3 linked regions of the Lonchura striata genome follow. The protein of the gene in region 1 interacts with the protein of each later gene in a pairwise test. Links are inferred from orthologs where the notes say so. Each region holds a gene or a part of one and is shown on either strand. Other genes may lie near its edges. The genes, in order: SNCA, CSNK1D and CYCS.

Region 1 (3,748 bases):
GACTAGCTTTATTTGATGAATAAGAGAAACAGAGCCATAATTTTTTTTTATAAATAACCACTTACTCATATATAGTCTTGACAGATTGTTTTTCTGTTCATTTTTCATGACAGCATTTGCAAGACACTCTTCTAAAGCTCAGTGCTTGCTAAATGAAGATGACTACCCTGAATGAAAGTACCACTCAAGGGTTTGAAAATAATTTTATCCCAGGCTCTATGGAATACTAGTTTGGCCTAGAATAAGACACTAACAACTGCTTTGCTACTTTGGGGTCTACTTGCGCTACCTCATTAACTGTAGAGGCACTTCCTTGAGAAGTCATGGAAAATTTTTGCCATGAATTTGCAATAGCAATTACACAACATGAAATTAATTTCAAAAGATAGCACTTTGCCATACAAAATGTTACTGTCAACATACCAAGCAGTTGGCATGTCTACCACACAAGTCCTGAGCTAACCTCTCAAGTGTCTCCTCCTGAAATCCTGTTCAAGTCCCACATGCTCTGTAGAACATTACAGAGCTACCTTCACCTCCAGCTTTTACATTTTTTTCATATTTATTTTTGCTGTACCAACCACCCCTTCAGCCTTGATCTGGCAGACTTGCATGTAATACCACTCAATGACCTGTACTGTAAGGCACTTGGCTTCAAAGAACCAGAGCTCAAGAAGGCACAAATTTCCTCTTGTTTCTTTTGCAATGGTCTCCTATGAGCAATTAAATATTTTTTTGCAGAAGAAGGGGTCTGATGAGGATCCAGTTGTGAATGTTGGGGTGCACCAATCAGCAGCGTGCTCTCTGCTGCCCACCTACCCACATACAGGACTCCCTCTTTCGTCTTTCCTGCTGCCTCTGCCACACCCTGCTTGGTTTTTTCTGCTGCTGCTACGACTCCCTCCTTTGCCTTGGAAAGCCCTTTCATGAACACATCCATGGCTGAAGACTTTCTTCAAACAGCTCTAGAGAAAAAAAAAAAGAAAAAAAGTACACACTTTCAGTAAGGTTTTTTATCCCAGAAAGGGGAAAAATATTCTAACCAAATGGGATCACAATTACTTTTAAATTACATTATTTATACCACCCAAATTGTATAGCTATATGAAACAGATATCCCATTTCCACAGAATCCTATGGAGAGGTTACCAATAATGGAGTTCTGACTGGAAGATGGTTCCATTGAGATAAGTACCTTCCTTGCCTATGAAGTCATCATTTCTCCCAAAGGACAGTTCTGTTCATGTGCTGAATGCAAGATTTAGTCTTGTGATTTGATGACACTCCACCTCTCATCCAGAGAAAAAAGCCTACTTAAATAAACATCAGCAACTTAAAAACAAACAGACCAAACTGAAAACCAAAACACATAAATCAAAACCTCTCATAAATGACAAATGTTCACTTGTAAGAAAATGGCATTACAACTCAGGACTGGAGAAAATTAAAAATGCTGCATTTCCATTAGTCCAGCATTTTACACACAGTCCACATCAACCTTTTGGAAACTGAGTTTTCCTGAATGGGTTCCTTGCATGCATCACAACTGAGAAAATATTTTACTAAAAAGCAAAAGCAAGAACGCAGGATGTTAAAAGCACTGCACTAAAGCTACCAAGAGAGTCCTATCACAGCAATACAATCCAGTACTACACCGAAACCACTTAAATAGTAATTAAAACCCAGAATCACCGTCCCTCCAACAAATCCATTATCAGTCATCTTTTCTCTTCCTCCACCCACACAGACATGAGTGCTGCCTGTTATCTTCTCTTCTTTGCCAGAGGCTGAGTAGGAGGAATGCATGTCTAGGAAGGCATCTGAGGACGTCGCAGCTTTCCACTAACTCGTGACGACCGTGCGAAGGAAGGCAGCGTTTGTGCTCCAGCCAAGCTGCCCACGGTACCTGCCGCCCTGGGGATGGGGAAGGGGGGTGGGTGCCTTGCACAGAGCGCCGGGGGAGGCAGCACCGGCCCGCGGGACCCTCGGCTCCTCCACCGGCAAGGTGCCAAGGCCCGGCCCCGGGGCAGTGCCGCGACCAGGTGCGGGGGCACCGGGGGACCGCGGGTGTGCATCAAAGAGCATGGGCACCTGCAGAGGGAGGAGGGAGGAAGCAGGGCGTATGTGCGCATATATGTAGCTTATACATACACAAACATATAAATACATGCACGCGGCGAGGCACCTACCGAGGAAAGGAGAGCGGCGCGACCATATGGGCACCCTCGGGCTCCCGCGGACACGCCGTCGGCACACGGCGGACACGGCGCCCGGCTCCTCCTCCCTCCCCCGTGCCCACACGGGAACGTGCAACGGGACAGATCTATCCAGCTGTCTCTGGTATTAGATACACACCTATGGCTCCGTGCAGACGCGCCCCGCCCCGCCCGCACTCACCGCCGGGCTCCTCCGCCACCGGCGAGCGACCCGTTCCGACAGGCGGGGGCGGCGCGGCTGCGGGCGAGCGAGGCGCGGAGCGGCCCCTGCTCAGCACATCCCAAGGCTCGGAGCCCGCCCGCTCTGCTGGCACCACCCCGGCGGCAGCCCCGCAGGCGGCGAGAGGCGAGGGCGGGGGGCGGGAGGATGAGCCGCGGCGGGGAGGAGCAGCGGCTCTTGCTCCCTGTTGAGGATGCGCCCCCGGCCCGGCCCCCTGCGCCCGCCCTGTCACGTCCTGCGCGGCGGTGCGGTGGGAGGCGTGATAAACTGGGAGCACCTGTTTGCTGGCCTTCTGGAGAGAGAAGCAAGGGTTAAAAAGGTGGGTAGGGCGATTTGGTCCCCCTGGGACTCCGCACAGTCACCACTCCCTCCAAGGGCTGGAGAGCCTCATCTTAGAAGTGTAAGGAAGCTGTTGTTGCGGCACAGCCCCGAGTCACTTCACCAAAGCCTTACAAAATCTCCCCCAGCTTCTAATTCTTTTTCATCTACTTCCCAATCTTCAACCTTGTATGACTGCAGTTCAATGTCACTGTTCTCACAACATTCATGCTTCCAGTTCATTTTAAGCACGGGAGGTGGTGGTGCTCTTGCAGGTGTAATTCGAGTTTTAACTCTATTGCACACACAGAAGAGTATTCATCCCAAATGAAGAGAAGTACGGCCAGACTTGCCCAACCCTTACACCGTTGCTTGCATCTTCCTCCACACAATCCATGGCCACTGCCACCCAAATCTTAAACTCAGGCAGAAAAGTCACTTTCTCCCCAGAAAGGGAAACCTATCAAATTTCTCTATTTTGGTCACAGAATTTAAGCATGAAAAGCCAAGACCAGTAGGAGACAAGGCACTAGAACAGATGGACCTTCAGTTTCAGTACATCAATTCAAATCCTGCAAGACTTACAGAAACAGCTTGGGTTTTATTGCACTCCAAAAGGAGAAACAGAACATGGATGATACCAGGTTGTGAGCTGCAAGGAGTATCTTTCATCCATCATCCCGTGCAGACAGCTGATGCATCCCTGGTTCTCATGCTAAACATGTAGTGCAGGGTCTTGTTCTTGTCAGGTTTCTTTGTAAGTAATATTTCTGTATTGTTTGGTACACTTTATTTTGTTTCATTCTACTAGTAGTTTTAATCAACCAAGCATTAGGCAACAGATTTTATTTCTTTGTGTAACAGTGTTCAGACTGGTAATACACAGATGTATACAAATAAATAATTTTCTCATCATTCTGCCATCAAGAAAACCTTCAAAAAAGCCTAGAAATTGAATTACATAAGGTACCTCACCTCATTGATCCTGTGCAGC
Region 2 (3,748 bases), on another chromosome or scaffold:
TGGAAGCTTCTGCTTTTGCACTACAATCTTCAAAGTCAGATGTGATCCATCTGCCATTTGTATCACTTGAGGATGCAGTAAATCTGGTAGTCTGGACTGGAGAGGAGGTGCCCCAGTGACCCAGAAATGCAGAGGCTGTAAGAAACAAATTGAAACCCTGACAGGACCAGTAAGGCAAAAGCAATACCCTTTGAGAAAATAAAGTTGTAAGGGGTTATTATCCCTTGGATATATTTATAAAAGATTTATAAAAGAAAAGAAATATTAGATTTATAAAAGATAAATTTATAAAATAAGGCCTGTTGAACAAATATGAATCCAAATTTAATAGCCTTATTTTGCCAGTTAAGAAGGCAAAGGGAAAGGACAACAGAGAATAGCCAAGGGAAAAATGGGCTGAGGGACAGAGAGGGAAGAAATTAAACATTAGGGCAGGGACCTGGAATGAGAGCATCCAAGAAAGAAAAAGTGTACTTAGAATATGAGAGAGAGAGAGGAAATAAAAGTTGGGGGGGACATCACAAAGGCCAAGAGGGTATATGGGTAGAATTCTAAAAAATTGGAAGACAGATAAATGGAAAAAGACAAAAATATCAATGGATTGAGATAGAAGATGAAGACAAGAGAAGTAGGGAAGAGGACAGAAGTCCAGAAAGCAAAAGAAAACAGAGAGATAGAATATGAGAAAAAGACAAGAGCCTGGAAAACAGGAGAGGGAGAGGTGCAGGAAAGCAGAAAAAAATACATCAGCAGGAGAAGGGTGGTAGGGATGGGATGCAGAAGAGGGGCAACATGGACTAATGGGTCCAGGACTCACCACAGCTCCCACTTACAGCTGCTGGGGGAATTTGACAGTTCAGATGTGTCTTTGTCTCTCCCTCTCCATCCCTTACTCTGTACTTCCAGAGACTCAGCTGTCAGCCACCTAAGACATCAATGTCTTACAACTTTTACAGTATGAGGCTTCACAAATACACAGCTTCACATGTGCACACACTACATGGTTATACATACAGGCCCTGCGGTGCTCTGCTTAGCACGACACTTATTAGACATTCTTCCTCACCCGGAGAGACAGAGGAGATCCCAACACTCCTCCCCAGCAAAAATGACATGGTTTTCCCCTGAAATTTGCGGGGTCACTTCTCAGACTTTGTCCCTGCACCACTCTCCCCCTCCTCGCCCTTCCGCCTTCACGATCAAAGGGGCGCTCCTCGGAACGCAGTGCTGCCGGAGCTCATCTCCACCGCGGGGACGACGACGCCACACACACCGAGAAGACTGCCGACCTCATTCGCGGCCCGGCAGGTGGCAGGGACGGCGCGGTGAGACGGGGCACCAGCGCCGGACGGCAGCCACGCCCCGCCCGGCGCGCGCCGTCCCTGCGGCAGCGCGCCCCGCCCCCGTCGCTAGGGAAGTGAGGTCACGCGGGATGGTGGCGGGGCGCCGCAGGGGCTGAGGGGCCGATCGCATCGGGAATCCGTGTCCATCTTGCTCGGGAGCTGCGGCGACCGTCTTGCCTGTCTCCTTAGTATCGAGCGGCGAGACCAAAGCCGCGATGGCATCCGAAACCGCAGGACTGTGAGGCATCAGAACGAGAGCCAGCAGGCCGGGCAGAGCAACAGAACGGTGTCGTGAACGACCCGAGCTGCCGCCATGGAGCTGAGAGTTGGGAACCGGTACCGGCTGGGCCGGAAGATCGGGAGCGGCTCTTTCGGGGATATCTACTTGGGTAAGGAGGATGGCTCGCAGGGGATTTAGTTGGCCGTTTTCTGGGTGTGTGGAGAACATCGAGGGCCTAGCCGGGTCGGGCAAGTAGCTGGGCTAGGGACACAGCAGCAGTAATTTAATATTTCGTTGACATCATGTCCTAATTTGGATAGTGCGGAAATCAGGAATTCTGGTTTACTCGGCTGCTTCTCTTCTCGTTGCTGTCTAGTGACCTTGGGCACCGTTCGAGTCTGTAAAATGGGCATAAGGGTAAAAATCGCCTCGTCTGAAAGAAAGGAAGGGAAAAAAACAAAATGATATAAACCCTAAAAACCCCACAACCCACCGCATTTGGAAAAACGTTTTGGGGAAGAAACGTACCAGGGTTAAATATCGCTGCAGTGAACTAGGAAAAATTGTCAGAAGAATGTTTATTCTACTTTGAGGCCTAAAAAAAATCACACAAATACAAGTGTTTAGGTTGCAGTAAAAAACCTTTAAATCCTTCAAATAATCCTCGTAGTTTGGCAAATCCTGTTGCTGACCATCACCTAACCGTGATCGCTCTACAATTGTAAAACGTACAGGATTGGAATTCTCTTTGCCAGTCCCTTATTATAGTTCTCTAACATAGCCTACTGCTGCTATTGTTTATGACAAGCTCAGGTAGTGGGTGCAACAGATTTTGAAAGCAGGTATTTTTAAAATGCTCTACATATTCGGCAAACTCTCAAGCCATGTGAAGTGGGTTCAATCCAAAGAAATATGAGCATTATGTCTCATCCAGTAGATACGAGTATTCTGCTTTTGAAAATTGTGTTAACCTAGAAGAGCAAATCAGGGAAGGGTGGGTGGGGGAAGGTGGAAGTTGCAGGGGCTAAGGTTCATTGACTGTGGAAGATAAAAATAATGTCACTTGCTGGCTTATGTGGTACGTTTGGCAGTGCATGCAGTATGAGATGTGGGGGTTGTTTTTCTATACGTGTTGCAGTGCACAGCTGCCATTCCAAAATAATTTTTTACTTAAAGCTGCTTGTTTACAGATCATGAAATACTCATTATCCATTAGACATATCATATGCCTGATGAAAAATATGCTATTTTAACTGAAGGTATGTGATTGTCTAGAGTCAGAGAACGTGATTCTTCCTTTCTGCAGTGCATGTATAGAAGATTGAAGATGTGACTATAGAAGATTGTCATAAAGCTTGTGCAAAAATTCTTGTTAGCTTCCATTTGGATTTTGGGGGCAATTAAGACAGCAGTTAAAATCTGAAAAGTCTTAGATAATTTGAATAATTTAAACTTTTGACTACTGCTCAGGTAAATCAGATTGTAATACAGTATTAATATCAAGTGCAAGTGAAATAAACGTTTATGTGTCACTTTTATCTCTATGAATGCAGCTTACACCAGTGAAGGTGCACAGAAAGTAATAGTTTGCTGTATGCTAGTGTATATATTAATGCCATACTGAATTCTGTGCAATAAATCCTGTGAGTTTTACATTTTTTTATTTCTAAACAATTGTCCTGGATTTACTCTCAAGGCTTACTGCAAATGTCATGCCATTTACGTGGAAGCATGGCTCAGGCATGGAGCTAGCATATAAGTATGTGAATGGAAGATCCAGCTGGTGGCATGGTTTTATTTTCTCAGGGGAAATTATTGTCTTTCAAGAACTGAAGCGTTTTATAGAGTCCCATTTGCTTTGCCTACAATTATCTGGTAGAACAGATGTTTGAAAACTGGCTTTTGTGATAACGAAATGTGGAGTTTTAAAAAAAATCCAGTTACTGCTCTGCTGTTCAGACTGTACAGTAGACATAAGTGTCTTAAAATAATTTATAATGTTATTTCAGAAGGCAGTATTTACTTTAAGTAGACGTGCCTTCTGATAGGCCTCAGTGAATTTGTAGATTATTTCAGCATACATTCCCAGCTCAGTTTTATGCTTTGAAAATGAAGATTTGACTATTTTTGCCTGCTTCCAGTCCCCAGGTTTTGTCTCAAATGCAGCTACAAGACATTTCAGAGT
Region 3 (3,748 bases), on another chromosome or scaffold:
AAACTAGGGAGTGATGATTTCTGAATGGTCTTGTGAATTATCTACAAAAATTCTGCCATCAGAGAAACCCCTGATGTATTTTTACAGTCCTCATTCCTTTCTGCTTCATGTTAACACTTCACATGAGCCCTGCCCCATGGGCAGTTCGAGGGGCACACCCATACCAGTTCCAGGACAACATAAAAGCACACACAGAAAATAAAATGTTTTTCCAATGTCAGACAGTGAAAAATTCTGACAGTTTTAATGTCCATAGTAAAGCAAACAGTTCAACTCTTTTGAACACTGGACATTACTACACTGGGCTTTTCCAACAGCTCTTCCTCCTTGCCGAGGAGGGTGAGATGGCAGGCATGTCTGGAATTCACCATTAAAATTCTGCTTGGAAGGCCACAATGTGTGAATATTGACATGTCCTCTTGGAGCACTCCCACACTGCTGGGCTGGCATTTGGGACGCTTTCATGCCTTCAGGCGGCAGTCCCCTCCACAGGGCTCTCGCCTGTGTCAGAGCGGCGCGGCCGCAGCCGGCACGGCCGGAGGGTCAGCCGCTGCCCTCAGCCCATGGCCGCGCCGTGCCGGCAGCGCCCCGCCGCGCTCTCCGGGGCGACTTCGCCTCACTTCGGCTACGGCAGCGCTTCCGCACCACTATTCCCTTGGCTCCTCTGGGAAAGCTTTTGAAACTCAGGGACAAGCTGGTGAAGGGTCTGGAGCACATGCCCTGTGAGGAGCAGCTAAATGAGCTGTGGGTGTTTGGCCTGGAGAAAAGGAAATTCAGGGGACACCTTATCCGCTCTACAACTCCCTGAAAGGAAGCTGTAGCCAGGTGAGGGTCGGCCTCTCCCAGGCAACCAGTGACAGGAGGAGAGAATACAGTCATAAACTGCACCAGGGGAGGTTCAGGCTGGGCATCAGGAAGAATTTCTTCCCAGAAAGGGTGGTTAGACATTAGAGTGGGCTGCGGAGGGAGGGAGTGGAGCCGCTGTCCTTGGAGGTGTTTAAGAGTGGACATGGCACTCAGTGCCATAGTCTGAAGGACACGGCGGAGTTCATTCCATAGAACGGACTCGAGGACGGAGGTGTTTCCTGCCCGCACCGACGCTGTAATTCCGTCACGGCGCCTTTTGCGGCCGCCCTCACGGCCCGACCGCCCCCGGCCGAGCCGGCCCCGGGCGCGGCTCCGGCTGCGTCACTGCTCGGGCCCCGCCCACCGCCCGGCCGCGCGCTCAGGGCGCCGCGCGACCCTTGCTTCCATTGGCGCTGTGCGCATGCGCTCACAGCACTCGCGCCCCTCTGCTGCGCGCCCCCTCCGCCGCAGATGACGTCTGACGTCACTGGCCGGGATTGGAGGGAAGAGGGGCAGGAAGGAAGGAAGTGCGGGGGCCCGCCGGTCTCAACCTACCCCACTAGCCGCCGGCGCCGTGACGTCAGCTGATTGCAGCCAATCAGAACTCCAGCGGCCGGCGCCTGATTGGTTGTCGCGGCGGAGAGGCGGGCGGTGCGCCGCGGGGTTGGTTGCGGCGGTGCCGGGTTACTTAGGGCGGAGTCCGCGTGTCCTTGGGCGCAGACGGAGCGGGAGGTGCCGGCGGCGCGGTCACGGTGTCTGAGGGCGCAGCGGGCCAGCCGGGCGGGCAGGTGCGGCCGGGCCCCGCGGGGTGGCGGCGGCTGGCGGGGACATGGGGCGAGCGGGCCGTGCGCTCGGCCGCCCTGAGGCCATTCCCTCCTGCCGCGGCCTGAGGCGGCGGCGGGGTGCGGCGGAAGGTCACCGTGGGGCCGGGCGGCCCACCGCGGGTGCGGGCCTGAGGAAAGCTCAGGGCCGGGCTGGGCGCGGGCAGAGCCGGGGCCAGGCGGGGCGGGCGCCCTTGGGCGCTCCCGCTGCTGACGCGTGGCTGCCGGCCGGACCCCTGGGGTCATCCCGGGCCGTGGTGACAGCCGGGCGCCCTCCCGCCCTCCCGGGTGCGTGGCTGGTGCGCTTTTTCAGCTGAGAGGAAAAGCCTGTCAGGTGTCCTGTGCTTTTACACGTGGTCGTTCGCGACTAGGGAATTCCAGTTACTGTTGTACAAGTTGCGTTAAATTTGTTCCTCAGAAATTGTCGCCGTACCCTTTAAATGCTGTGGGGCAATTAGTTTGTATGAGGGAAGGTTTTTCCCGCCCTTCAAGTGTGTTTATCACCTTGATACCTTTTAGGTCGTCTCGTGGGTTCATACTGATTTTCAAGCCCAGGAGCTGTGGCTTGAGGATAGACAGTGTGCTGGAGAATTGCCAGATTCATGTGCTGCTTATGTTGGTTTTGTAAACCTACGGGATGCTTTTTAAAAGTTTCAGCTCAGTCGGTGACCTTGAGGTTGCAATACTGACCTCTGTGTGTGTTCTTGGTCTAGTACTGACAATGGGAGACGTTGAGAAGGGCAAGAAGATCTTTGTTCAGAAATGCTCCCAGTGCCACACGGTTGAAAAGGGAGGCAAGCATAAGACTGGGCCCAACTTGAATGGCCTATTCGGACGCAAGACTGGGCAAGCTGAAGGTTTCTCTTACACGGATGCTAATAAGAACAAAGGTAAACTTAAAGCTGTCCTTAGGGGACAAAATTACTCAGTTCTTGGTGGTAATTTTAAAAATTTGCCAAAAATTGAGCAGAGGACAAGAATATATGTGTTTACTATTTTGAATTTATTAACTCTTCTCTTTTTACCTTCTTTCAGGTATCACCTGGGGTGAGGATACTCTGATGGAGTATTTGGAAAATCCAAAGAAGTATATTCCTGGAACAAAGATGATTTTTGCGGGTATTAAGAAGAAGGGCGAGAGAGCAGACTTAATAGCATACCTCAAAGTTGCCACTGCAAAGTAAAAGTTATCTGCTGCCTTATTTATTTCACAAAGGAGATGGCAATGGAAATGTCTGTGATGAGATTGGTTTTTAAACTTTCTATTTTTACATGTACTGTGTCTAACCTTAAAATCTGTCTCACCCATCAGATGACTTTGCTCACGGTGGGTCACTGGAGTACACACTTGTTTGGCAGCCATTAACTTAACAAAGACTATGTAATTGGGTACAGTCATCCTTGATCATAAAGATTAAAAGAAAATAAATAAACATTTCCTGCCTCTTCATTGTTTTAAAAAATATGTAAATAATCAAATGAGTAATCATTAACAGTGTAATAACTTTTGACAGCTCAACTCCTGAAGATCAAAAAGCAGGGTGCTTTTTGGCATCTTCTGCCATACATCTTCTGTTACATTAACAACAAAGGCTATTAAAAAACCCAATCCCAGTATAATATTTTTCTAAATTTAATCAGTGCTAGGTGTTGCAATATGTATTAATCTATCTAAAGCTTGTGATAAAAATGCATTTCATCTGATTTAAGTACTATTTGTGAACTGCCAGTTGTGCCCAGCCACTTGTCTTTTATCTAGGGGAAGCATGTTACCTAATTTATCCAGACTTTGACAGCTGCATGCACCCATATAATTCCCCTTCAGAAACATTTCCAGTTTTGATGTGTTATTGATGCCCTTTGCTCAGTAAATCTTCTGATAACAGCCATTCTTAGTGTAAGAGAAAGCATCCTCTTCTGGGAATACGTGTGCTAGTGGCCAAGCTGAGAGTTATTTAATCTTCTTAATTCAGCAGAAACATTCACCTAGAATTCATTGTTATTGAAAGTTTCAGATTAAGGGATACGGGAATGATTGTGCTGGTAGACTAAAACACAAAATCAAGCAGTCTTCCTCTGTG

The links.
Region 2: the proteins of SNCA (region 1) and CSNK1D interact in binary tests that used the Homo sapiens proteins (3 or more experiments, as listed by UniProt). The link is inferred for Lonchura striata from reciprocal best matches to the Homo sapiens genes SNCA and CSNK1D.
Region 3: the proteins of SNCA (region 1) and CYCS interact in binary tests that used the Homo sapiens proteins (3 or more experiments, as listed by UniProt). The link is inferred for Lonchura striata from reciprocal best matches to the Homo sapiens genes SNCA and CYCS.

Annotation. Positions count from the first base shown.
Region 1 is NC_134606.1:53,442,049-53,445,796, reverse strand, and holds the start of SNCA (alpha-synuclein), read right to left. Parts: upstream 2,563-3,748; 5' UTR 2,356-2,562; intron 2,315-2,355; exon of another isoform or gene 2,190-2,314; intron 1,899-2,189; exon of another isoform or gene 1,744-1,898; intron 1,314-1,743; exon of another isoform or gene 1,196-1,313; intron 966-1,195; 5' UTR 941-965; coding exon 820-940; intron 1-819. UniProt on the Homo sapiens protein: Neuronal protein that plays several roles in synaptic activity such as regulation of synaptic vesicle trafficking and subsequent neurotransmitter release.
Region 2 is NC_134621.1:12,203,544-12,207,291, reverse strand, and holds the start of CSNK1D (casein kinase I), read left to right. Parts: upstream 1-1,404; 5' UTR 1,405-1,656; coding exon 1,657-1,732; intron 1,733-3,748. UniProt on the Homo sapiens protein: Essential serine/threonine-protein kinase that regulates diverse cellular growth and survival processes including Wnt signaling, DNA repair and circadian rhythms. It can phosphorylate a large number of proteins.
Region 3 is NC_134603.1:124,391,099-124,394,846, forward strand, and holds the start of CYCS (cytochrome c), read left to right. Parts: upstream 1-1,499; 5' UTR 1,500-1,634; intron 1,635-2,380; 5' UTR 2,381-2,388; coding exon 2,389-2,557; intron 2,558-2,702; coding exon 2,703-2,851; 3' UTR 2,852-3,748. UniProt on the Homo sapiens protein: Electron carrier protein. The oxidized form of the cytochrome c heme group can accept an electron from the heme group of the cytochrome c1 subunit of cytochrome reductase.